Linked DNA regions of Alligator mississippiensis. The main gene of each other region encodes a partner of the protein of the gene in region 2 in a complex. Links are inferred from orthologs where the notes say so. Each region holds a gene or a part of one and is shown on either strand. Other genes may lie near its edges. The genes, in order: ASB7 and LZTS1.

Region 1 (12,090 bases), on a different chromosome or scaffold from region 2:
AAACCATTTGCTATATTTTTGCATTTCATGATGAGAGACACCAGCAAGATGATCATAGACCTGTACAAAATTACACTGCCATGACCTAATTTGATCACATTACTAGACTTGTTTTTGCATAAATGATCAGTCATTAGTTCACTTTTATTTTTGCATGATTTTCACTTAAAAACCCACACATTTTTTATTAGCTGATGCAAATTAGAACCGCACTGACTTCACAGACTAGAGACAAAGTAACAGCTTGCTCCACTAAAAAAGTAACAAGCTCCTTCCTTCCCCCACTCCCCTCAAAGGAATATAAGCTGCATATGGCAAAATAATGATCTGTAACTTTAATGAAGAGTTCTGTCACTGAATATGATAACTTAAGTTCACCTACTAGAAAGGATTTTAAAAAGTTGATTAAGATACAGTACGGAGACTAGCAGATTATACCAGAAATAGAACAGTAACCTAAATGTAGCATGCTTGACTTGATTATCCACCAACGTGTGGCTCATATGGTCAATGTGATCTGACAATTTTCTACACAAAGGTGTTTCTTCATTAAATAAGGAATAAACCTAAATACAATTTTTGTGTTTTCCTCTTAAAGGAAGGTAAAGGTTGATGCTGGAAGTAAGGTCAAATAGCAATGGTTTAGTAATAAAGAGCATCTGAAGCAGTAGATGACCTAACAGGTAGCACTCATCTCTGGGACACGCTGTCTTGTTCATGACATGTAGTAGAGCACTTCTTGGCATTTAATTGCCAACAACAAGAAGGAAGTCATATTGTTGTATGTGACACCAAGTACATCTGCATGCCATATTAAACTGAGGTAGTTAAATATCCCACAACCCTTTAAAAAGAAAAAAACCAGAAAATAGTGGCAGGTGTGTCCAACAGTCTCTTCTCAGGACCCATTTTTATCATTACCGGAAGTGAGCCAGCAAATGTCAGCCACTTACAATGGCCATAATAACAGGCCCCATTTTCAGAGGTGCAAAGAAGGAGGAGATGACAACACATTATAATCCTACTTGCACCTTATGGCAGTTAATCTGTGCTATGATCCAGTTGGATCACAAGCTTGGTGACAGTCAAGTACTTGGAAAGGAGATGTTTCTTGGTGATCTATTTGCATAGTTCCCAAGGAACAGTGAAAAAAATCCATCAAGATGTGATTAGGAGCACTTCACTGCTGTCTTTCAAAGTAAGGACAAGGAAAAACCCTAGATCCTCACAGGAGGTTACTAAACATCTCATAATACTTTTCATAAGAAACAGAACTACTGCCATCCCACAGCCCTGAAAAATTCCAGCTCCTTTAATTACTTTCTGCTTGTTTAAATTTCCCCAGCAATTTTAATTGGCTATGGTGTTCTTCATTTCCTCACCTTAAACTGCGGCAGAGTGTTGCTACACAGTCTTGAACAGCTGTTGTGCTATTCCCCTCTACAGGTATCTGCATTTCAATGGCAAGTTCAGCAAAACCTATGTATTTATCTAGATCTCAAAAGTGGCATAAGGATTAATTTATGGAGGAATTAGTAAATTATACCCTCATACTGGGGAAGAGCTGGAGGAAACTCCCCTTTTGCTAACTTCCCTCATAGCTCCTGAGGGAAGTCATCAGCACTGATGGGAAGTCCATTAGTAGAAACACTAAGGGAAGTCATACACTATAAACTCTTCCCAGACAGTTAGTTTGGGACTGCACTGGGCCCTTCCAGTTCATTTGGTGCAAGGGACGTCATAGCAGCTTTCTGAAGCTGCACACTCATCCCTCAGGCCTGCCATGAGAGTCTGTAGGGTGAACCTGGCTTGCAGAGGGAACATCTGCACTATAGCAGCAACATAACCCTGTCAGACTGTTCCTAAGCACTCCCTACCCATCTGCTCCTGCCTGTATCTGTCAAACTGCTTCAGGCAGACCCCCACTGACCATTTTCAAGTATGCCACAAATCAAGGTGCTGGGGACATCCAGTGGAGATGATCCTCAAGTGGTTTCACGAATACACTTCTGGATTTGGAGTGTGCAACTGGGAGCAGATGGGTGGGGTATGCTTGAGAACTGCCTGGCCTGCACACACCGGTACCCTGGGGTAGACATACCCTAAAACTCCTTAAGATCCTTAGACAAAAGGTGCCAAGGGCCACGCTCTCTTCTATGTTACAGTGATGCAATTCTTATTTAACAGAAGTATTATGTTGGCCAAATAAGGTTACATAGATTATTTTGAGCTACTACTTAAACAAGGAAAATTCTTGGTATGGAAATTGTGCGTGAGTATGACTATCTCAAAGAGTTCACAATCAAATTGAAGTTTCTTGTCATTTCCAGTGGAACCAACATGACTGTATCACTTACTATCATTGAACTATCTGAACAATGACATTAAGAGAAGAAAGCAGAGAAGAACTGGATGCTTCAAGCCAAATTACAATATTCTCTCTTAGCTGATGAGGCCGAATAACAATAAGCTATATTCATATAATTGGTTCCATCTAAATATATCAAGTAATGTTTTTCTGTTTGTTCTTGCTCTTATTTTAGAGTATCCCGAGTGGAAACAGTATAACAGGTGACTTTATGTATCAAAGCAGTTTTTCACTTTGATAATGCCATTCTGCAAGCTAATACCATGGTCTCTACAACAGAAGATGCAATCTCTCAGTCAGGAAGTTTTCTTAAAAGGTTTACAGTCCATCAGAAGCAAAAGATGCTTTTCTATAGCTTCAAAGCAAACAGAAAAAACCCAGGTCAAAGTACAAATAACTCTGTAAAACTGGAAGTCCCTTCTGTCTAGGAAAGATCTATACTTGTAATGTACTGCACTCCCTCCAGAGTGCAGCACTAAGCCTTCACTTCACTTGCATGGGATTTAAAGCAAGTCTTTTAAATGACTCTTGCCCTGATTTGGAACTGAAGAGGTACATTTATTTTAGGGTTTTGACTAGTGTAGCCATATCCATACAACAATCCCTCATGCAGACGGGCCCGCAGGCACAGTGAATACATCCAGCCACCATTTTCCACGGCAGTAAATGTACTATTTTAATAGTACACTATAAACAATGACGACGTGCCTATGCTGCTTCACTGTACTTTTACAAATTTGTTTTCTAAATGTAAGTGGGGAGTTCTCTCTTTAGCTATTGAAATATAACTACTACCTTTGACCATACACTAAGAAATCCATCTGCACTAGGAAAACGGCCAATTGCTGACCAAGGTTGTTACCAACAAGTGCTGCCTAGCTCCTCCTCTGCAGAGAGGACTCAAAACAATTCTGGCACAGCCTTCATTAGTAACTAAGTCTTGTTAGTACTATTTTAGAACACGGATGACAAAGTACATTTTCGAGAATTGCAAAAAAGTCTGGACTCATCTACCTTGTCAACCACAGCTCTTGAAGTGGGTTCAATTACACTGACATTGTCACAAATAAGAACTCCATCCTAAGAGAGCCACAACACGCGAGATTCTTTCCACCTGTCGTCTTCAAATTTTCAAAGGTACCTGGTCTGGGCTTGAAGACTGATCAACATCATCTTATTCCCTCCCTCATCTTTCATGATAAACTTGCTTCTTTACCCAGTCCTCTCTTTCCCACTCTTTAAGACACATTTTCCCATTTCAGGAAGCCAAAAAAAAAAAAAACTTAGCCATGCCCCAAGAGTAGCAGCATTTACTTAAAAGTCATGAATTCTCAAGAAACACACTGCTGACTAAAGCAACTACACAATCTAATTGCTATAACACACCCTTTCCCTACTCTTCCCCTAACCTTTATAGCTGTCCAGTCATCAAATCACAACACAACTTCTTTATTTACATTAGAAGTAAATTGAGGCAGGGGATGTCGCTCTTTGTCCGTGAAGTCCCACATACTATTAACGCACTGTAGAAACTAACTGACCAACCAACAACGGGAATACTTCATATGCGAGATGGCTCTACTGTAACCAGGTCTATGTTGGGATGCCTTACGCCATCGGAACGAATGCAAATGATGATGACGACATGCGTTTAAGCAGATACTATTTCTGGTAGGTCAAAATTTGAACCTAGCTCCTTCCCGCAGATTAAAGCAATCTTCCCTATTCCCACTGCCATCCTCTATTTTACCTAAATTTGTGATTTGTTGGCAACACAATATTTTTGCATTTTGCGTAAAAATAGGTAGTCTCGCGTTGTGACGAACAAGCAATATTCGATCCTTCGGTGATAAAATCTGCATGGGCTAACACACAGACGTTCGCATTTCTAAACAGACCGTTCATTAACCGTTATTCAGTTTTCACAAGCGAGTCGCAACACCCTGTGCGCATGCAAATTTGGCATAAATAAAAAATTAGAGACAGCTATAAATAAACGAATGCAGCTACTCTGGCCTAGTCCAGCTATGGCTTTGGGAATCGCTGCCATTATCATGGACAAAGTCTTTGGCGCATGTGCGCGGGAATCGAGCAAAGGAACGTGATTTCTCAATTTTTACTTCGGATATGGAGAGGCACTGAATAACCAGTAGCACATCATTTATGAAATCCCTAAAGGGGGAGGCCACAAAAAGGCCTGGACGCTGCAGACCACGAGGAATAACCTGTGGGGCGTTACACGCGAAGCGCAGAGCGAGGCGGAGAGGGAGGGGAGCAAGTGCATTTCCCCCCAGCTGCTTTGGAAGTCGTCGACCTTTCCGAGCCGAACAGCGGACCGTTTTTGGAGCACGAAGAAACGCTAACATCACCGAGTCAAACCTGACGCGAACGGCGTCCGACCCCGGCCGGTCGGGCTCCTGCGCCGCTGCGTACGCAAAGCGGACCATCACCTTAGCAGCGAGCGCAGCTCCTGGGTCTCCCATCCCCTTCGGGCTCCCGGGCTCCTCCGCCGAGGCAGCTCGCACCTGCAGAGAAAGGGCAGCGCTGAGAGCTCGGCGGCGGGCGTTCGGGGGAAGGAAAGCTCGGAGACACCTCGGGGTGGGGGGGGGGCATGAGACGAGGCAGGGGAAGGCACCAGCCTCTCCTTGGACAGGGGGAAGGAGAGGGCAGCCGTAGCAGGGCAAGGGGGATGCTCACAGATGCTGACGGAGGGAGGGAGGGTGGGGGGGTCCTTCATGATCCCCCTCAATGGAGGCATAACAGGACAGGGGCTCAAGGGAGAGAAGGAAGCAGCACCATGGGGGGGGGGAGGGGGCAGCACCATGGGGGGGGGAGGGGGCGCAGACCGGAGTGGGGGAGGGGTAAGGGGGGGGCGTCTCCCTCACAGCCCGGGGGGGGGGCGGGCCGAACGGCCGTTACCTGCGATGCGGTGAGGCGGCGCCGGCCCCGACGGCTCCCCCCCCGGGCAGCGCGCAGGGCCGGGGGGAGCCGCAGACCCAGCCGTTGCGGGGGGGGTTGTGGGGACACTTTGCACTGAGCCTCCCCCCCCCGCCCCTCACTCCGGGGTCACCGGGCCGGGACTGACCCCCGCGACAGCCAATGGGGAGCCGCCGCTGGGGCCCCGCCCCTCGCCGTCAGGGCTCGCGGCGCCGGGTTGGCTGGCGGCGGCCGGGCGGCTCCGCCCAGGGCCGTAAAGCACCGCGGGGTTGCGCGACAGCGCGGGGGAAGGGGCGGTCGCGGCGGAGCGGTCGCGGGGAGAGGATTGGGCCCTGTTGCGCCCGGTTGGGTGTTGCTTAGCAACCGTGCGCGGGCGCGGCCTAGGCGCCAGGTGAGGGCGGGGGTCCCTGGAGGCCGTCGCGGGGGCGGCCTCCACCTGCCACCTCTGCTCGCGCGTCCTAGGGCTGCCCTGGCTCCTGCTCCCTCGGGCCTCGGAGGTGGAATTGATTTGGCTTGAAACGAGAAACATTTTCTTTAAAAAAAAAAAATATATTAAAAAATGTAGAGTTTGGGGTTGGGTTGCGGGGGAGGGGCTGGATCCTGCCAGCCCCACGTCTCTCACTGAGGGAATAACGGGGCACGTGGGAATGATTGAGTGCTTTGTGTGATGTAAAATCATAATAATAATGATCATGGCTGTTTCTTTCGAATGTAGGAAACAGTGCGGGACAATTTCACCATTCTTCATAAAAAAAGCGGATTTCTGTGTGCAGATATAAGGCGAAATGTCCTCCTTTTGGAAAGGTACGTGGACTTGACCAGTCTTTTTCAGGGATGTTTTGGGGGTACGGGCAGTGCTCGGGTGCGGCAAGTCGAAACGTCGTAAGTCAGAACTGATTTTCCCAAAGGAAACCATGTTATAAAGGGGGGATTGGTTCCTGAACCAAGGCCCGATACTCTTATTTTCCCCCAGAATAATACAGGATATTGTACTTGATCAATTATAGTTGTGTAACATAGCTGCGTGAATGTATTTCTGTTGTCAATAGCAATACTGATTTGGAAAGACTTCTTTGAGGTGGCTTTGCTGGAGTTTGTGGCGGGCTCTCGGTTGGGTGTTTTTGAAGGGGGGGGGTCTTCTCAGGAGTCCTGGCTGCAGGTTTTTCTGGAGTCTTGTCTGCTTTCGTAAGGAAAGCGTCCAAGGAAGCGTGGATAGATGTTCTCCAGGGAGATGGGCGATGCAGCGAACTTGTTCGCTGGCGTGACGTCGGATTAAGCGTCATAAAGTCAAAACTGACGTCAGAAAGTCCATTTATAAATGTCATAAGTGCCACCCGTTGTTACTTGAAACGTTTTAGGTCGAGGACTGCCTATAGTGACCCCCTGTTTAAGTTTCTTTTGCCTGGTGTATGATATTCCTGAGAACAGTTTCAAGCCACTTCCCTCCAAGGCTTTTGTCTGCAACCTTGTACCTGTTTCTCTTTCAGTGTCTCTTTTTTTCCTTCCTCTTCCTTTAAGGAAGGGAGAAGGGGAAGGAGGGTAGTGGCTTTCTCCTACCCACTGTGCAATGATTAGTTTTTGCTATTGGTTTTTAAAGGATAATGGAAAAAAAAAATCATGGCACTAACGTGCTATTTGACGTCGTGCTGTCACCTGTCTTGTCCATTTGGATTGTAAGACTTGCCCAGTGCCAGTCACTGGTATGGGCGGCTCAGGACCCAGGCAGGAAGGGAGCCCGAAAATGGTAATTTTTTGGTTATTATGATCATTATCTCTGGCAAAGGCGGGGGTGGGGGCGATACTAAAAGTTCAACAGGGGCTGCCTAGGTACAGTGCTGGACTTGCCCTGCTTAGTGGTTCCCAACCTTGATCCTGTCAAAATACAAAAAATAATAGATAAAATTGAAAGACATTGTTCCTAACATGGCTTTGCTGTCATGCTACTGCTTCTTTATTCCCCACTTTGGCTTCATGCCATCTTGTACTACCCTCCCCCGCTACTATCCTGAAACCATCTGTCTTCATCCTCCGGTACCTTCCCTCTTTCAGATGCTTAATACCCACCTCTTAAAGAATCTCTGCCACTTCTTTCTTAATTATTATCTTTTCTTTCCCTTCTGAACTGTTGTCCTGTTTGGGACATGCTATAGGCATTTGTAAAACGTTCTTTATCTTAATGCTGCCACTTACATGTGTTAAGATATGATCAGGTAAAGCACAGCCAATATCCTGTTGCAAAGGTAGAATTTCTTAGTGCGTGCCCTAGAGGAGTTCTCAGTCTTTCACCCGAACAGCATCCCTGTATCGTATAAATTACACAAGAGATCTACTCGTGTCACATGCAGAACAGTCATTCAGTTGTGTTTATTCAAACCCTTTGTAAATGTGCGGAAATGTAATTTTATTCTGTTGTATATTCATTTAGGTAGAAATAGACCTTGAAGATGGGAACAGTACTTTGTATAAATTTAGCCACAAGCTGAGTTCTGAAGAAATTGTATGAAGTTTTAGATTATAATTTCTATTCCATATAGAATGCTAAGTATATTCTGCAATTGAATATAGAAGTATCTGATATTTTAGACTAATTGTGTTGAAAATGGGACATGTAGACAGCAAAATAATGTGGTATTCCAGTGTCATCATGTCCAAGGTTTGGTAAAGTTCTAGCTTCTACAGGTCAGACCTCGCTGAATGATATTTTCCAAAAAAATACGTGAGAATCTGTGTGACAAATGTACACATTTTGATAGCACACACTGCCTTATCATCCAATTTTCAATTCTGTCTGAGACAAAATATGGGCAGGTTGTGGTAGTCAGGAGTCTGGGTTCTATGCCTCAATTTGTCATTTAAGTTGCTCTGTAACCTTGGAAAGTCACTTGACTCTCTCAGCTTCTGCACATGCACAGTGCAAAAGTGGACACCGATGTATAAATAGGTTACATGACTTTCCAAGGTTACACGGCAATTTTAATGGCAGATTGAGGGATAATACAACAAAGGAAGGGGAAGTACTTTGGAAGCTGCTTAGAGATGATAGGCTAAAAAATTCACTGCGTATGCCGAGTGGTACAGCAGAATATTTGTCACGCTTTTAGACTACCAGTCAAAATAAGCCATGATTAACGATAAGTAAATTGCATTGTTTTGTTTGCTGCTATGTACTTGTATATATAACGGATAGATGTTCAGGGAATTGTTAGAGACTGCTCCCTTTTTTTATGAGATAAGAATAAAAAAGGAGAAACTGGGAAAAAGAAACTGATTATCTCTTTCCCAACTAGTAAGTACTTGCTACCAGTAATAAAATGATCAGTCTAGGACTGTACCTGGCTGGCTGTCTCAGATTTAAAAGGCAAGCTCTAAACATGCTCCATAGAAGAAGAGTTCTTTTTAAGCAGACAGCCCTGCAGTTTTGAGTATTGCAAACCTGGAAATCACTATGGCATAGATTGCTGTTAAACAGGAGTAGTTGTAATTATGGCATAAAGGTGTTGGTGTTGTTGCATAGCAGCGTGACTACCTAGAGCTGCTTGGAAAGAATAGCTTCTCTGACCTTAAGCGTGTGGACTAACATGACAATTGGACTGTTCCAAAAATGTCATGGGTTGCAAATTGGTTCATGGTTGTCCCTGGACAGAGGTGCCTGCACCTACACTGCTGAAGGGGAGGGCTCTGCATAGAACCTTTTAGGGATTGCAGGTGTGTGGAGAGGGAGAGAAAAGCCTAGACACCACTTGGTGGGGTCCCTGACTCGTATAGGGCTGGAGGCTGGTGCAGGGTGGAAGGGTTACCAGGTAATGTGGCACCAGTGTGACCCTCTTGCTCATAGTTCCTGGTGGGTTTTTCAAGGGATTCCTCCCAAGAACTTGGTAGTTTTTTAGCCCCTTATCTGAAAGCTGTTTCACCTTCCAGGGCATAGAAGCCCTGAAGCTACTGGGTCCCTTGCTCCTTTTGGGGTGGGGAGGAGGGGGGAAATGAGTGAAAGGGTTGCTAGGTGTTGATGCGGGGGCTAAGTGACCCTTGCTTTTGGTGCTTGGGGGGGGGGGGGGAGGGTGGGCACACTTGCCCAATCCAGGATCTCCCCTTTTGCCTGCTATGGAAAGCATTCTGGTAATTTCCCCTTCCCATGCTGCAAGGTTCCAGATTGATTTTGGGGGGGGGGTTGCTGGGGGGGTAGGGGGAGCTTTGTGCTCCCCCTGCTCATGTTTCCCAGGACTCTGTGCCTTTTCAATGCCTGTCGAAAAAGCTATTTTGTCATTTTTACCTTCCCATTATGGACCCTGCAGCTGCAGGCCTGGAGTTCTTTTGGGGTGGTGGCTACCTTTCCAATCCCACCAAGTGCTAGGCAGGGGAAAGTGGGGATGACTGTGTGGCCCCTTGCTTGTGGTGCCAGGCAGGTTTGGGGCTGTGGTGCCCAGGGTCCATAAAGAGGTAAAACCAACAAGGTGGCTTTCCAGGGCAGGGGTTGAAAAAGTAGCAGAGTTCTTGGCTGGGGAAGGGGTGGTCCTGGAGCACCCAGCCCCCTCAGAACCACAAGCAGGGGGGCTGCACACCTGGCAACCCCTCCACTACCCTCTGCCTCCGATGAGCCTGAGGTTCACAGCACGGGGTCCTGCAGGGAAATGAATCAACAAAATGCTTTGCAATGAAGTTAAAAAAGGAGATTTTTGAGGTGGGGCTGGAGCATGTTGCCCCCTGGGCACCACAAGCAGGGGTCACTCCTGCCCCCCTTAGCATCTTGTAATCTTTCTATTCAACCCATGCCCCAAATGGACCTGCGAGCTACAGCACAAGGTCTGTGCAGGGAAGTGACATTGACTTTCCAGTGCGAGTCTTGCCAAAATAAAAAAGCAAAGATATTGGGGAGCCCCTAGAGTACCCAGCCTCCTGGGTACCACAAGCAGGGTTTACAGCTTCCCCCAACCACGTGGCAGCCTCTTCATTCTCACCCCCCACTCCAAATTAATCTGGGACCTGCAACACAGGGTCCATGCAGGGAAATGAAATTGGTGAAATTAGTTTTCAGGGCAGAGGTTGAAAAGCTGCAGTTCTTGGGGATGGGGGGGCGGGGCAGCCAGCCCCCATTAGAACTATAAGCAGGGTGTGATACAGACTCCCCACCCCATGCCCCAGATGAGCCAAATGACAGAGGCTTCCTGCTTCCCCACCCTTGCAGGCTGTGGTCTCTATAGGCAGTAGTCCTACATGCAGTCCAGAGCATCCCCTTGCCCTGCATGTGTTTGGGGGTGGAGAGGAGTGGTGGTACAGCTGGGGTTGCCTGAAGGACTGACCACACACTAAGCATGAAGTTCTCTGTGTCTGGACTCGAACATGCTGGTTCATGAGGACCAGCTTAAAACAGGACTTGGTATCCTTGGTGTGCTTTTAAAACATTTAGGAAAGCTTACACCCATCTTAAATGTTGTGCACATGTAGACTCTGGGGTCTTAAAGTGTATGTAGAACATGCTAAGCATTATGTCTGTCCACACCATTAAATGTTTAGTACCTTCTTTCTGTAAGCATATTAAATCATTGGGGTACTGCTGTGTTTTCTTGTATATAACATATACCTGCCCCCAAAATCAGTGTCGTTCCCCCTCCAAACTGGGATCTATTAAGCAGGGAAGCTGTTCTTTTTATTTATTTTTTTGCTGGTAAAGAAGGAAGCCTGGAAACACTGTGCATGCCATGCATCTACCAAGATGATTGTTGTTTGTCTGGATCAGCAAACTAAAGGGGCACCTGTGCGAACCCTCTCACAGCTGTAGCTATTAGCTGTGCACTGTAGTTCATGCCTGAACCAGAGAGTAAGCTGTTGTAGTATCCTGATGAGGCTTATGGTGTGGAAACAGCACTGTGTTTATAGGAACTGCCTGGGGCCTAACTTTGTGTGACAGTAAGTCCTCCTGGGTGAGTTCCTGCTGTCTGCAGCCTCACCTAGGCTGTCTTCTGGGGTGCCATACTTCCTGAGACACTCTGTTTGTAGGAGGACTTGATGTCACAAAGTTGGCCATCCAAAAGCAAGGTGCATGTTTTATTTGGGTTTGTATTTCATGCAAGAAAATATGATACTTAAAACATATCTTCAATAACAAATTCAATGAAGCATCTTTTTATCCAAAAATTATAGAAAGTAGGATTGGAAGGGACCTCAGGGGATCACTTAATCCAACCCCCTACTCTGAACCATCCTAGGCAAGTTAGTGTTTGTGTAACCCAAGGCTAGGTAAGCCCCAGCATGCGTGCCAGAGTGGGGTGCGCACAGGCATTTTGGTTGTCAGTTTGCCTGGCACTTCAGGAAGGGACCAGGGCTATGCTGCCACAGCAAGGATCAGGCCCTTTGCGGCTCTCCCACTGTCCACCCATGCCATGCCAACATCTTACAAGTCAAGACTGTGGATGTTTTTGGCACTTTGCCCCAAAACATTGCTGCCCCCTGATTTAATCTCGCTAAAACAACCCTTATCCACAAATGTGCGCAATACCTTAAACGGCAAAAACATCCTTTAACTTGCCCCATTTAAAGCAGGGGGAGCAGAGCATTATCCATGCCTTGCCACTGCGAGGACAGGAAGCAGTTTGTATGGTTAAAACATGTTTTGGTTTCCCACTGAAGTGGCTTTCATATATATATTTGGGAATATGTGCAGGCTTTTAGACCCAGCTTTGTAGACATGACATCATTTTGGGTAGCTCATCTGGTGATTTTTGACAAGCCTGATGTCCTAAAGCAGCAAGTATCTACAGTTTCCATCCATTTCAATGGGACTGTTGGGT
Region 2 (11,325 bases):
CATTTTGGGAGCATGGGGGCGCTGGGCCGAGTTGAACAACCCACACTCAATTTTCCTGCAGGATCCTCAGAATGAAAACTGACAGCTTTTAACTAGCATAAGCTATTCATTTTCTCCTACTGCACAGATGGGGTAAGAACACTTGCACTGAAAAAAACCTCTCCCTTTTCAAGTCACCTCTCCTTTCCTTCCCAGGTTCTGTCTCCTCATTTCTTTCCATCACACAACTTCCACTGGCACCTGTCCTCTTCCACCCTCTCCCTTGGGAGTGGTTGCCCCCTCGGCCTTCCCCTGCCCTTTTCTGCTTTGCTTTTGTCTCCACAGACCTCCCCACCCAGGCAAAAAGCATCACAGCCAGGTTTGCCACACCACAGCATGCCTGCTGGGAAGCTGAATCGCAGCCTGCTTTTCCTGTTGCTTCTTCTTGATTTGCAAGGGAAATAGCTAGCGACATTTGGGGGGGGTTGAAGCAAGCAGAACATGTGCAGGCAAAGGCTCTCCTGCCCACTGGAGCTGACAAACGCCCACCCTTGGAATTATCTAAGGGGAGAACACAGTCTGTCTTTGACAGCATCTGTCCCTCCCTTGCCAGTATGAAGCATGAGGGCTGGGTCTCCTCCAGGCTGTCTGGGCCACAGCAAGAGCTAGAGATCTTCATTAGAAGTGCAGAATACTCCAAGCTGCACTGCCACCACCCTGAGTGCCAGCTCCCTATATAGAGGCCTCTTGCAGGCGCAGTGATGTGTGTGGGCGGCCGTAATTAGGAGCTTTGATGAGCCCCTTTCACCAGAGAGCTTCACAAAGCAGACAAAATAATACTAGGGTTGCGGGGAGGAGGGAAAGAAAACTACAGTTAAATAAAACCCTCTTGTCAGAAGAGGGAGCCTCCTGTCTCCCCGCTTACACTAGTCTGGATCTGTAAGGACCCAAATCTATGAGCAGATGGTGGATGTTATATGTCCATTGCGAATTAAGGAACCAGACTGATTCAGACCAGAGCTGTACCAGGCCCAGTGGCCAGTTCTGGTGCTGCAGAGGTAGGTCCAAGAATAGTGGGCTACAGTGAGATGGTTGGCCAGAGTGAAACTTTCTTCCTGGCCCATCACTTACAGGCTGGAACTGCCATAAAATATTATGTCAGAAGAGGGTTTAGAAGGATGCTCTCACCATTAAAGCTCTGGACCTGGACTCAGAAGACTGGGGGTCTGTTCCTGATTCTCCCACAAATCTGATCTGCCACCTCAAGCCAGCAGCTCAGGCTATGTGTGGTGTAGGAGCACTATCCCAGTTCAAGAATAACAGCATTGCACTTTTGGGAAGGGCGCTGCTAAACCAGCGCAGCTGGGCTTTGGGCCAGTTTCCTAACATCATCCCACACAAATGAAACCAGCTGTATTGGCACAAGTGCAGCTTTTCCAATGCACTTTTGTCTACCCTAGGAGCTGGCAGAGGTATGCTGAGTCAGGGAGAATGCATCTCCACATGGGTGACTGATGCATGTGCTGTCAGGAGTTTGCAGCCTATAATGCCCTTCCTCTCTGTGTCCTAGTAACCCCCCTGTAAGCAGGAGATGATAACATTTAGTCCCATTTTGGAGACAGACCTCAACACCTCATCACCAGCTCCTTCCTGCCTCTCTTTTCTTTTCCACCTTTCTGTCCTTTTACAATGCATTTGCTTTCACAAGTTCTGGGAGAAGGCCAAATTGGCACCTGCTGCCTCTCCGAGAAGTGCCCTTGCCCTGTCAGCAGTACAGCCTTGGTTTAACTCCTACTCCATGTTGTGCTCTTTCTAGCAGCCTCTCACTATGGATGCAGGAGACAAGAGCTCCCCAGCCTATGAGTAGCTTAATTAAAAGCCCATTGTAACCCCTCCTTCCAACAATTCTTTCTCAGGGACTGTACTGGAGAGGACAAGGAGCGCGTTCAGTCCTTGCACTCACTGCAGTAGATGCATCTGAGTACCCTACCCTTGTAACAGCGATGGATCTGTTCCTAAGCTGGCATAGTGGTGAGAGTCAGGGAAACCCCTACTAGAGATATATATGATTGCTTTTAGGGGAGTCATTTTTAAAAACCTTTAAAAAAACCCCATGCCTCTACTGGTAGGAATTTAACCATCACTGAAAACCCAGAGGCAGAAACCCTTGTTTGTGTGCACAAACCCTAGATGCAAAACAAGGTGCTCCATGGCTCTGTTCAGCTCTGCTCAGCTGGAAGAGTTTCCCCAGAGATGGAGCCTCTAGCATCTGCCAAAAACTTCTGTGTAGAGGAAAGAAGAGTCATGGGCGTTTACGCTGAAGTCTTTAATACAGCAGATCCCTTTGTGAGTCTTATTGCTGTTATTCTCCAGGGCTCTTTTGCCCTGGGAAACTTTCCAGGTGACTTTGAAAGATGAGGTAATACCAGATAGTGTGACTCGCTTGAGAAGGCAAGGATAGGAGACAAGTTCTGACTTGAGCGGGATGAACGAATTGGTAGCTTTGAGCTCTATCTCCAGACAGGATTCATTTCAAGGGACAAGAGTGTGATAAGAGTCAAAGACAGAATTAGCCATTGAGCCTTTCTAACAATGCAAACCACAGGCCAATGACTCTGGGGCTACTTTACCCTTCCTTAGTGCTGGGAAAGGGATGGGGAATTGCCTTCAGGAAATACTGTGATGTGTCACCAGAATGGCTGTGCGTCACATCTATAATTCTAGCCAGGCAAAAGAGCAGAGACACTCAGGAGTCAGAGAGGCAGTGTGGGCAAAGAGCTGCTGTTCATCCACTGGGTGGCAGCCAGAAAGAGTCTGGGGTACCCCAACTGTGAGTTAAAGCAGTTCTGAGGTTGCTCTAACTCATGCCAGGAGCCAGGCTGCAGGGCTCTGTCCTTTCAGAGTTTTGTCTACCATTGGTTTCTAATCAAGTCCAAATGGGGGCTGGGGTGGCGCAGGCGCAAGTTCAAGGCCACAGCAGAAGTGGTCATGGTGCGGTCGTGTCCGATTCCAGCCGATCTGTGAATCCTGCTAAATACCTTGTCACAAAGACACGAAAAAGGAAAGGAAAGCTCCAACTGATGCAACGGTGCAAGTGCAGTTTAGGCCACTGGTGCCCTGTCAAACTTGGAGCAATTTCTGAAATGTTAGTGACTTGACCACCGACCCAGCTGGCATGAGACGTTTCTTGGTTTTGGGTTCTAGTATTGTTTTCTGCTTGTTCTGGGAATATTAAATTCCACTCAACTGGAAATCAATCATAATGCGCCCCCCATCCTGCTCACTCCCTCCTCTGCGCTCACATTAATATACTTCCCCCCTCCCTTCAGTTTTAGGTCCTAAAATAGCAAATTCCAGCTCAATGTTTTCAAGGCAAGCAGGCAGCACACATGGCATTGTGGGAATATTGCACAAATCAGCAGAGAGGCTGAATGAGCTGCCAGAAAGCAGTATCAGTCTGTGGGAACGCTTTGAGTCAAAGCATTGAGGCTTGACAGCAAGGGACATGAGTGATGGCCTTTATTCCTCCTTGCCACATCTTCTGTGTTACTATTTACACCTTGGCAAAGCTGCTGGAAAATGCTGCCCCTGGTGTGGAGGAAAAGGAGGGGTTCTGATCCGGTAGCTTTTTTTTTGCACCTGTTTTGCATTAATGTAAGGCAAGGGAGAATCAGGTTTCTGCTCCTCGAGGTTTCATTTCCCCTATATTCATGCAACACGTGCAGGACTCCCAAAGCCATTGCTTGGTGCTCGGTAGGCCAAACCTGGAACAGATTCCAGAGAACCTGCTAGGTTTTTCCAAACTCCTGGCTAGGAATTTAGCAGGAAAGAGCGATAAAGCAGTATACCTGGCTTTCGAAAAGAGGTGAGCACTGCCTGCAGCATGGCTTGTCTTTGGTTAGCCAAGGACAAGCCCTATGTTAATCTCTGGCACTGATGAACTGTATTTCCTGCATTCCTAGGCATGGCAGTGGCACAGCCCCACCTCCCCTTTTTCACCCTGCTGTGTTGAGGCCATCTACAGGTTCTGCCACTAGCATACGTGTGTGCGTGCACATGTGTGTGTGTACACATTTACAGAGCCTAAGACAGCACTCTGGAGCTAACCAGGGCCAAGCATCAGAGACAAACTCCTAGCACACAGCAGCTTTGGATAATATTAGGCTTGTACAGCTGGTTTGCTCATTGGGTCCTTCTGGTGCTACAACTCCTCGAGGTACCTGCTGTGCCAGAGGTACTGTGAAGAGATGAGATGTGCTTTGCTTTACTGTGGCAGGGGGCAAAACTCAGTGCAAGGGCAGCTGATGTGTTGGACTGGCTCCAAAACTCACTGAAGTCAGGGCTGACTCTGGCCCGTACTTCAGGGCCTCGTGACCCTCCTACAAGAAGGATCCGAGGGAGGAGCTGAAGAAGTGGAGGCTGATCACTCTCGTGAACTTTGACTATAAGCTGCTGGGCAAAGTCTTGGCTGAGTGATTTAAATCCATCCTAGGCACAGTCATCCACAAGGACCAGTTGTGCAGGGTGCCAGGGCGTCAGATCCATGGGGCCCTGGTGCACCTGAGAGATGCGCTCCAGCTGGAGAGGGAGAGGGCAGAGCATCACCGTCCTAAACCTGGACCTGAAGAAGGCCTATGACAGTGTCCCACCGGTTCCTGTTCCAGATGCTGGAGCAGATGGGAGTCCCCCCAACCTTCGTCAGCTGGATCAAGACCCTCAACACAGAAGTGAGCAGTGAAGTGCAGATCAACTGTTTCCTGAGAGTCCCTGGGGGTCTCTGTTCCCCGTGAAGGGGTCAGGATCCTCGGGATAGATTTCAACCCTGATCTGAGCGGCAGGACAGCGTGGGAGAAGACAGAGGCAAAGTTAAAGCAGAGACTGGGGCTTTGGCACATGCGCTCCCTTTCCAAGGAGGGGGGCACACCGCACTTGTGAAGGCGGCTTTGCGGCCAATGCTTCTGTATACCACATTGGTCTCCCCCGCTTCCGAGCGTGTTGCCCGCAGGATCCAGAGAACCGTGTGCATTTTCTTCTGGGGCTCCAGATGGGAAAAGGTCACCAGGAAGACCATGCACAAGGACAAGAGGGCCAGGGGCAGGGGCATGCCAGACATCCTCCTGTTCCTGCTGGCCAAGTATACGAGCCAGATCTGCAAGCTGGCGAATCCAAAACCACTTGCCTGGTGAGATATTTTGCAGGGTACATCCTGAGACACTGGGGGTGTTCACCCCTACTAACCACAAGCCGTGGATCATGGGTGCACTGTGGTTTTACGAGATCCTAAATCAGTCCCCCAGCTTGTATGGCCTGCAGAGTGCAACCATGAACAACCACAAGAAGATCCAGGAGACAGTGAGGTTGAGGGACACCACATCGCCCATGGACCTGCTCCCATGCAACATGTGCCAGGTCTTGTGGGAGCACATCAACCACAAGGACCTGTGCAAAGACCACAAGGACTGGTCAGTGAGGGCTTGGAGACAGAGAGAGAGAGGGTCAGCTGGGGAGACCCAGCTGCCTGTGGCTGAACTGCCACAGAGCCACCGAGACGATTGCTCTGGCTCTGCACCTGTGCCAAAGGGGTATGGAAAAGGATGAAGCAGCTCTGTGAAGCAGTGACCAGCAACAACTGGCTAACCAGAGAATCGGCACTGTATGGGCACCCACAGAGACATGTGGCATAGGATCTTCCAACTCCCCACTAGCAGAGAAGGGGGTGGTGACAGTGAGGAAGAGACCAGTTGAACTGAGGGCAGTGACAGCAGCAGCAGGTCCTCATGACAGAGACACAGACAACAAGTGAACTGAGTATGTGACCCCGCAAGCGGGGTGCAGGAGAAAAGAAAAGGGTGGCCTGGTCTGAGAGACCAGAAGTTGTTTGTGTGTGTAGCATGCGATGCAGATATTGTAATGGGGCCGGGTGGCCAGCAGGCCTTTGTACAAGTGCATGGGCTGCGCATAGGCAGTTTTGGTAATGGGTTACGGTTTTCTTTTCGGGGTGATACTCGGAGTGTAGCTATATATACCCTCATATATATACAGACATGTTTTTACTAAAAAAACCCCCAAAAATCCCTTCCTCCTGGGCTGCAGGTGTGCAGTCAAGGTGGGGAGAGAGCCCTCCCACTGCATACCTGGCTGAGAGTCAGGCAGTTTGCCGTGCACGGTACAAGTCCAGATGTGCTGCAGGCTACCCAGCACATTCCACCAGGCTAAGTCAGCTTATCAACTACAAACAGGTCGGCTCCATAGGAGGGGGAAGAAGGGAGGGAACTCATCTTACTGTGCGTGGGAGAGACAGACATACTAGACCAGCACAGTGCTCCCTGCGTGGAAGCAGCTATCCTGGCAAAGCTGCATACTGGTACCCTCCTCACCGTGCTCCAGGTAAGCAAGGCTGGCAAAACCACCATCTGGCCAGTACAACAGCATCTTCACTTAGGGCGAAACCTGTCGTGTAGGATGGTTGAAATCCCGGTGATGTAGCCAAGCTGCTCGGAGCTGCTGCCTGCATCTCTGCAGCAGTGTGCCATTCAGTAATGAAAAGCGAGGGCAGGAGGGGTCAGGAGGCTGAGCTTGCCCAGACAAAGGGAGAAAAGAGCTGCATTAGCTAAGCGGGTAGGTGAACTGCTGAACACACCCACCCATTACGCTGCAGCATTTCAGCTCCAGAACAGACAGGGCTAATTACTGCTTGGGGCACTCACCTTGCTGAATAGCAAATTCCAGAGTTGCTCACAACCCTGAACACCCTCCCACGCGCACACATCACCAGCAGGTATGTATACATGGCAGGCACTGCAGCGGGGTTAAGAGCTGCCTAAGAAAGCTTTAAACTAGCCGACACAGGTAGCCGTAGTGGGCCCCTGTAGTGCAGGTCTCAGTGCAAAAGCACTTGACTGTGCTTTTCAGGTGAGTTTGGCAGGACACCTCGAGCTTGGTGCTGCTATTGCTAGACTGCCTGTGTGAGCTAGTTTAACACTAGCTAGACCACAGTGCAAACACAGATATCGTTGTGCACACATACAACAGGCATGAACACACATGTTATCAAACACCCCCAAATGAGAGTGCTTAACACGGTATCTTATGCATGTCAGACTGACTGGACTCTCAGCACTAGAGAGCAGTGACGGTCACTCCCCTGCGTGTCTCCCTGCACATCTGTACAGCACCTAGTGCACGGGACAGCCTTGTTCTTTGTTGAGACTTCAGATGCTGTTGTCATATGATATCATTGTGCGCCTCGGGCTCCCTTCCCCGCATAAAGGAAAGAACCATAACATCCCACTTGATTTATCGGCAGGAGGTGACCTACCATCAGGTCACCCGACCGTCCTCCTTGGCTGATTTTTGTGCCTGCCAGCAGACACCAAAGTGAGAATTTTTTTTCTTGCTGTGCAGGTTTTTGGAGGGATTTAACCCCTTGGGGGCAGGCACCCACCCCCAAATAACCTACCATCAGGTCACCCGACTGTCCTACTCGGCTGATTTTTATGCCTGCTGTAAGACAACGAAGTGAGAATTTTTCTTGCTGTGACGGTTTTTGGAGAGATTTAATCCCTTGGGGAAAGGCGCACACCTCCAAACAGCCTACCATCAGGTCACCCGACTGTCCTACTTGTCCTGCCTGTCCTACTCGGCTGATTTTGGTCCCTGCCATTGACACCAAAGTGAGAAATGTTCTTGCTGTGCAGATTTTTGGAGGGATTTAACCCTTTGGGAACAGGCACCCCCCCCCCCCCAAATAAGCAGAGGGGACAGGTCGCTCGCCTAAAACCCATACTCCCGGTCGGACAGTACAAGGGCCAGGACCCGGCTGGCTTTGCTAGGAGGGTGCTGTGCCACTCTGCAAGGTTTGGGGCTGCGGGTGCTGTGAAGCAGGGATGCTCCGAAGCCTGGAAGGTGCCCGCATGGGGGCCAAACCTCTTCTTTACTTCCCCGGGCATCTTTGCAGCTCCCCCGAGATGCTCTCCAGTCCCCAGGCTCTCGGGGGGAGGGGGGGGGGGGGCTGCTGCAGCCGCCAGGGCCCCGGCGGGGGACACGGGCGCTCGCAGCTGTCACCCCGCACAAAGCCCGCGGCGGGGCTGCGGCGAGCCAATGAGCGGGTCCGCGGCGCCGGCCCCACCTCCCGGCCGCGATGGAGCGGCGCTGCCCGGGCCGGGGCCGGGGCCGGAGCCGCAGCCGGAGCCGCAGCACGGAGCGCCCCCACGCCCGGGCCGGGCCACAGGTAGCTCCGGGCCGGGCTCCGCGGGGCGGGGCGGGGCGGGGCGGGCGGAGGGGGTCACACCGCCAGCCTTTTTTTTTGCAGCAGCAGCAGCAGGGATGTGCCATCCCCGTGCACGCGCAACACACCAGGGACGCGGAACATGCACTGCACACGTGTGTGAGGTCCGTGCACACGCAACACACCACGGACACGGAACATGCCCTGCACACGTGTGTGAGGTCCGTGCACACGCAACACACCACGGACACGGAACATGCCCTGCACACGTGTGTGAGGTCCGTGCACACGCAACACACCACGGACACGGAACATGCACTGCACACGTGTGTGCTGTCTGTGCACATGCAACGCACCAGGGACGCGGACACGCAGTGCACACGTGTGTGAGGTCCGTGCACACACAACGCACTCGGGACGCAGAACACACACTTGTGATGTCCGTGTACACGCAACACACCGGGGACGCAGAACACGCAGTGCATATGCATGTGATGTCCGTGCACACGTAACACACCACGGGTGTGGAACATGCAGTGCACATGCAACACACCAGGGACACGGACACGCAGTGCACACATGTGTGCTGTCCATGCACACACAACACACTAGGGACGCAGAACGCACACTTGTGATGTCCGTGTACACGCAACACACCGGGGACGCAGCACATGCAGTGCACATGCGTGTGATGTCTGTGTACACGCAACACACCATGGACATGGAACGTACACTGCATACATGTGTGCTGTCTGTGCACACGCAACACACCAGGGACTGACACACAGTGCACATGCGTGTGATGTCTGTGCACACACAACACACTAGCGATGCAGAACACGCAGTGAGCACACGTGTGCTATCCATGTACACCCAACACACCAGGGACGTGGAACATGCAGTGTGTGCTGTCTGTTTACACTCAACACACCAGGGACATGGAATGTGCAATGCGTTCATGTGCTCCCTGTACCCACCCTGCGCATGCAACATGCCCTGGAGGTGGCACATGCAATGCACGCAGGTGTTCCCCGTGCACACGCAGCACACTAGGGGCACGGCACATGTGCTCCCTGTGCACACCACCTGCACACACAGTACACCATGGACATGGCACATTCAATGCATGCATGTGCTCTCCACTCACACACGGCCTGCACATGCAGCACACCATGGGCATGGCACACGCCGCATGCACATGTGGTCCCCCCATACATACCTGGCACGTGTAACACACCACGGATGTTGCACATGCAATGCACACATGTTCTTCCTGTGCACACACTGCCAACACATGCAACACACCAGGGGCACAGCACATGCAGCACACACATGTATGCCCTCTGCACACAATACACACCCCTTGACCACCCCCATGGCATGCCGGGTGTATAACAACACATGCCACATGCTTTTGGTCCATGAGCGTCTCCTGTGCAGCATTATGTCAGTGTGGTGCCAAGCACACAGTGCCTTCAGATCACAGCACACGCGGCTCAGGCACAAAGAGAGGCAGAGACTACAAAAAAGCCAGGTGTGGCTCTCGCCCAATACGAAATCATTAGCTGCGCACTGCCCAGAAGAGGTCTGAAAGCAAAGAGCACCGTCTAGTGCTGATTCCTCAGTGCGATCTGCCCCATGGGAACAGCCAGAAGATCTGAATCCCAGCATCCCTGGCTCGGCTTCTTCCTTCTCTTTGCTCTTAAGTTTTGGGAACTTCCTCATGGAGAAAATCCTGCCTGTTGAAGCACCTCCAGGTTTGTTTGGTTCAGGTAGCATGAAGGGGAGCTACACAGCGCTCTGCTTTACCTTGGATGGGTGTCCATACCCTGTCTAAGAGCAAGCCATGCAGTAAGACTTCTCATTTTGTTCTTCCCGGCTCAGTGCTGCACTCAAGAAAAGGATTCATTTCTTGCATAAGAAATGATTTGCTGGCAGAGTGCACGCATGTGTTGAGAGTTGGAGGCAGTGAGTGGGCGGGTAGCACGGGTATGCGAGTGCACAGCGTGAAGAAGCAAGCCTGTGAGGAGGTGAGGGATTGTGGCTTGTTTCCGTGTATGTACATGCACGGGTCCATGTGTGTTGGGGCAGTGTAAGACAGGGGAAGAGCTGGGGTTTGTTGCTGTAGATGTTTGGATTTCTGTTTGTCAGTGTGAGTGTGGTGGTAAGGGTATCCGTGTGCCTGGATGTGTTGTTGTGTGCGCCTCTGCTTGTACGGTGTCTCTTAGGGGTATGTGAGAAGCCAGGCGGGTGAGGATATGGATGCTTGGGTTACAGGGATGTCTTTATGTGGGGGTCTAGAAGAGATACAGAAAGTAGGTAGACTTTTGTATTCATAATCATGTGCCTTTAAATATAAGAGCTAGAGGGTATTATTGTTATCATGTTAGTGTGTGCATGTGCGTGTTTATCTTGTTATTGCTATCTTGGTATTTGCACAGGTGTGTGTGTGCAACTAAGTGTTATTGTTACTATTTTAGTATTTATTTGTGCATGTGTTGTGTGCTCATGCAGGCAGGTGTTATTGTTGCTACTTCAGTATTTTTTTGTGTGTGCACGTATGCATGTGTTCTTGTGCATGTGTGTGTTTGTAAAAATGCATATATGTGTGGGCGTGTTTGTGTGTGTCTGCACATTTGTCCCTGCTGGCATGCTGCGATTATGTATGCTCGCATGTGCATGTGTGTGCGACTGGTATTGGTGTGTGGGTGCACAGACATGTTGGGGTGTCTGTTATCTGTAAGTTTTAAGGGGACTGTTATCTGTAAGGTTTAAGCGGATTTTGCATGACAAGGCTGGATAGGACAGGGATGACTTTTTGACCTCGATTCCTGTAATTTCATCTATAAAAGCTCTTTCAAGGGTTTGAAAATAAATCATGACAGAGGAAAGCTCTAGGTTGCTGAGAGCGAGTGGTGCTATCACCTTCTCCAGCTGTCGTGACAGCTGGCCACTGCAAAACAGTGACCAGGGTCCGGATCCTGATTCTCTTTGACCTCTAGCAGATTGGATGCCCCTGAGCACGGATAGTTTTCTTCCTTGTGAAGCTGGTTAGTGGGTTTGTGATGTGCAGCATCCTTGGAATTTCTGTGCCCAGTCGGAGTTTGTGGTCTGTAGAG

What was found.
Region 1: the proteins of LZTS1 (region 2) and ASB7 are in contact, whole or in part, in a crystal structure (PDB 8Y1U), measured with the Homo sapiens proteins. The link is inferred for Alligator mississippiensis from reciprocal best matches to the Homo sapiens genes LZTS1 and ASB7. Residues at the interface, in NP_001349813.1 of Homo sapiens: Arg346, Glu348, Leu349, Leu352, Met353, Glu355, Gln356, Leu358, Leu359, Glu360, Lys362, Leu363, Arg364, Ser365, Tyr366; in NP_937886.1 of Homo sapiens: Asn46, Trp48, Ala56, Ile79, Phe82, Tyr87, Met90, His91, Asp116, Trp118, Val123, His126, Tyr127, Ser147, Lys149, Thr151, Gln155, Leu156, Ile159, Arg160, Phe182, Arg185, Tyr186, Ile189, Lys190, Arg210, Leu220, Leu223.

The regions. Positions count from the first base shown.
Region 1 is NC_081834.1:7,359,997-7,372,086, forward strand, and holds the start of ASB7 (ankyrin repeat and SOCS box protein 7), read right to left. Parts: upstream 5,447-12,090; 5' UTR 5,288-5,446; intron 4,894-5,287; 5' UTR 4,819-4,893; intron 1-4,818. UniProt on the Homo sapiens protein: Probable substrate-recognition component of a SCF-like ECS (Elongin-Cullin-SOCS-box protein) E3 ubiquitin-protein ligase complex which mediates the ubiquitination and subsequent proteasomal degradation of target proteins.
Region 2 is NC_081830.1:19,625,686-19,637,010, forward strand, and holds the start of LZTS1 (leucine zipper putative tumor suppressor 1), read left to right. Parts: upstream 1-6,244; 5' UTR 6,245-6,366; intron 6,367-8,119; exon of another isoform or gene 8,120-8,209; intron 8,210-9,653; exon of another isoform or gene 9,654-9,963; intron 9,964-10,164; exon of another isoform or gene 10,165-10,236; intron 10,237-11,325. UniProt on the Homo sapiens protein: Involved in the regulation of cell growth. May stabilize the active CDC2-cyclin B1 complex and thereby contribute to the regulation of the cell cycle and the prevention of uncontrolled cell proliferation. May act as a tumor suppressor.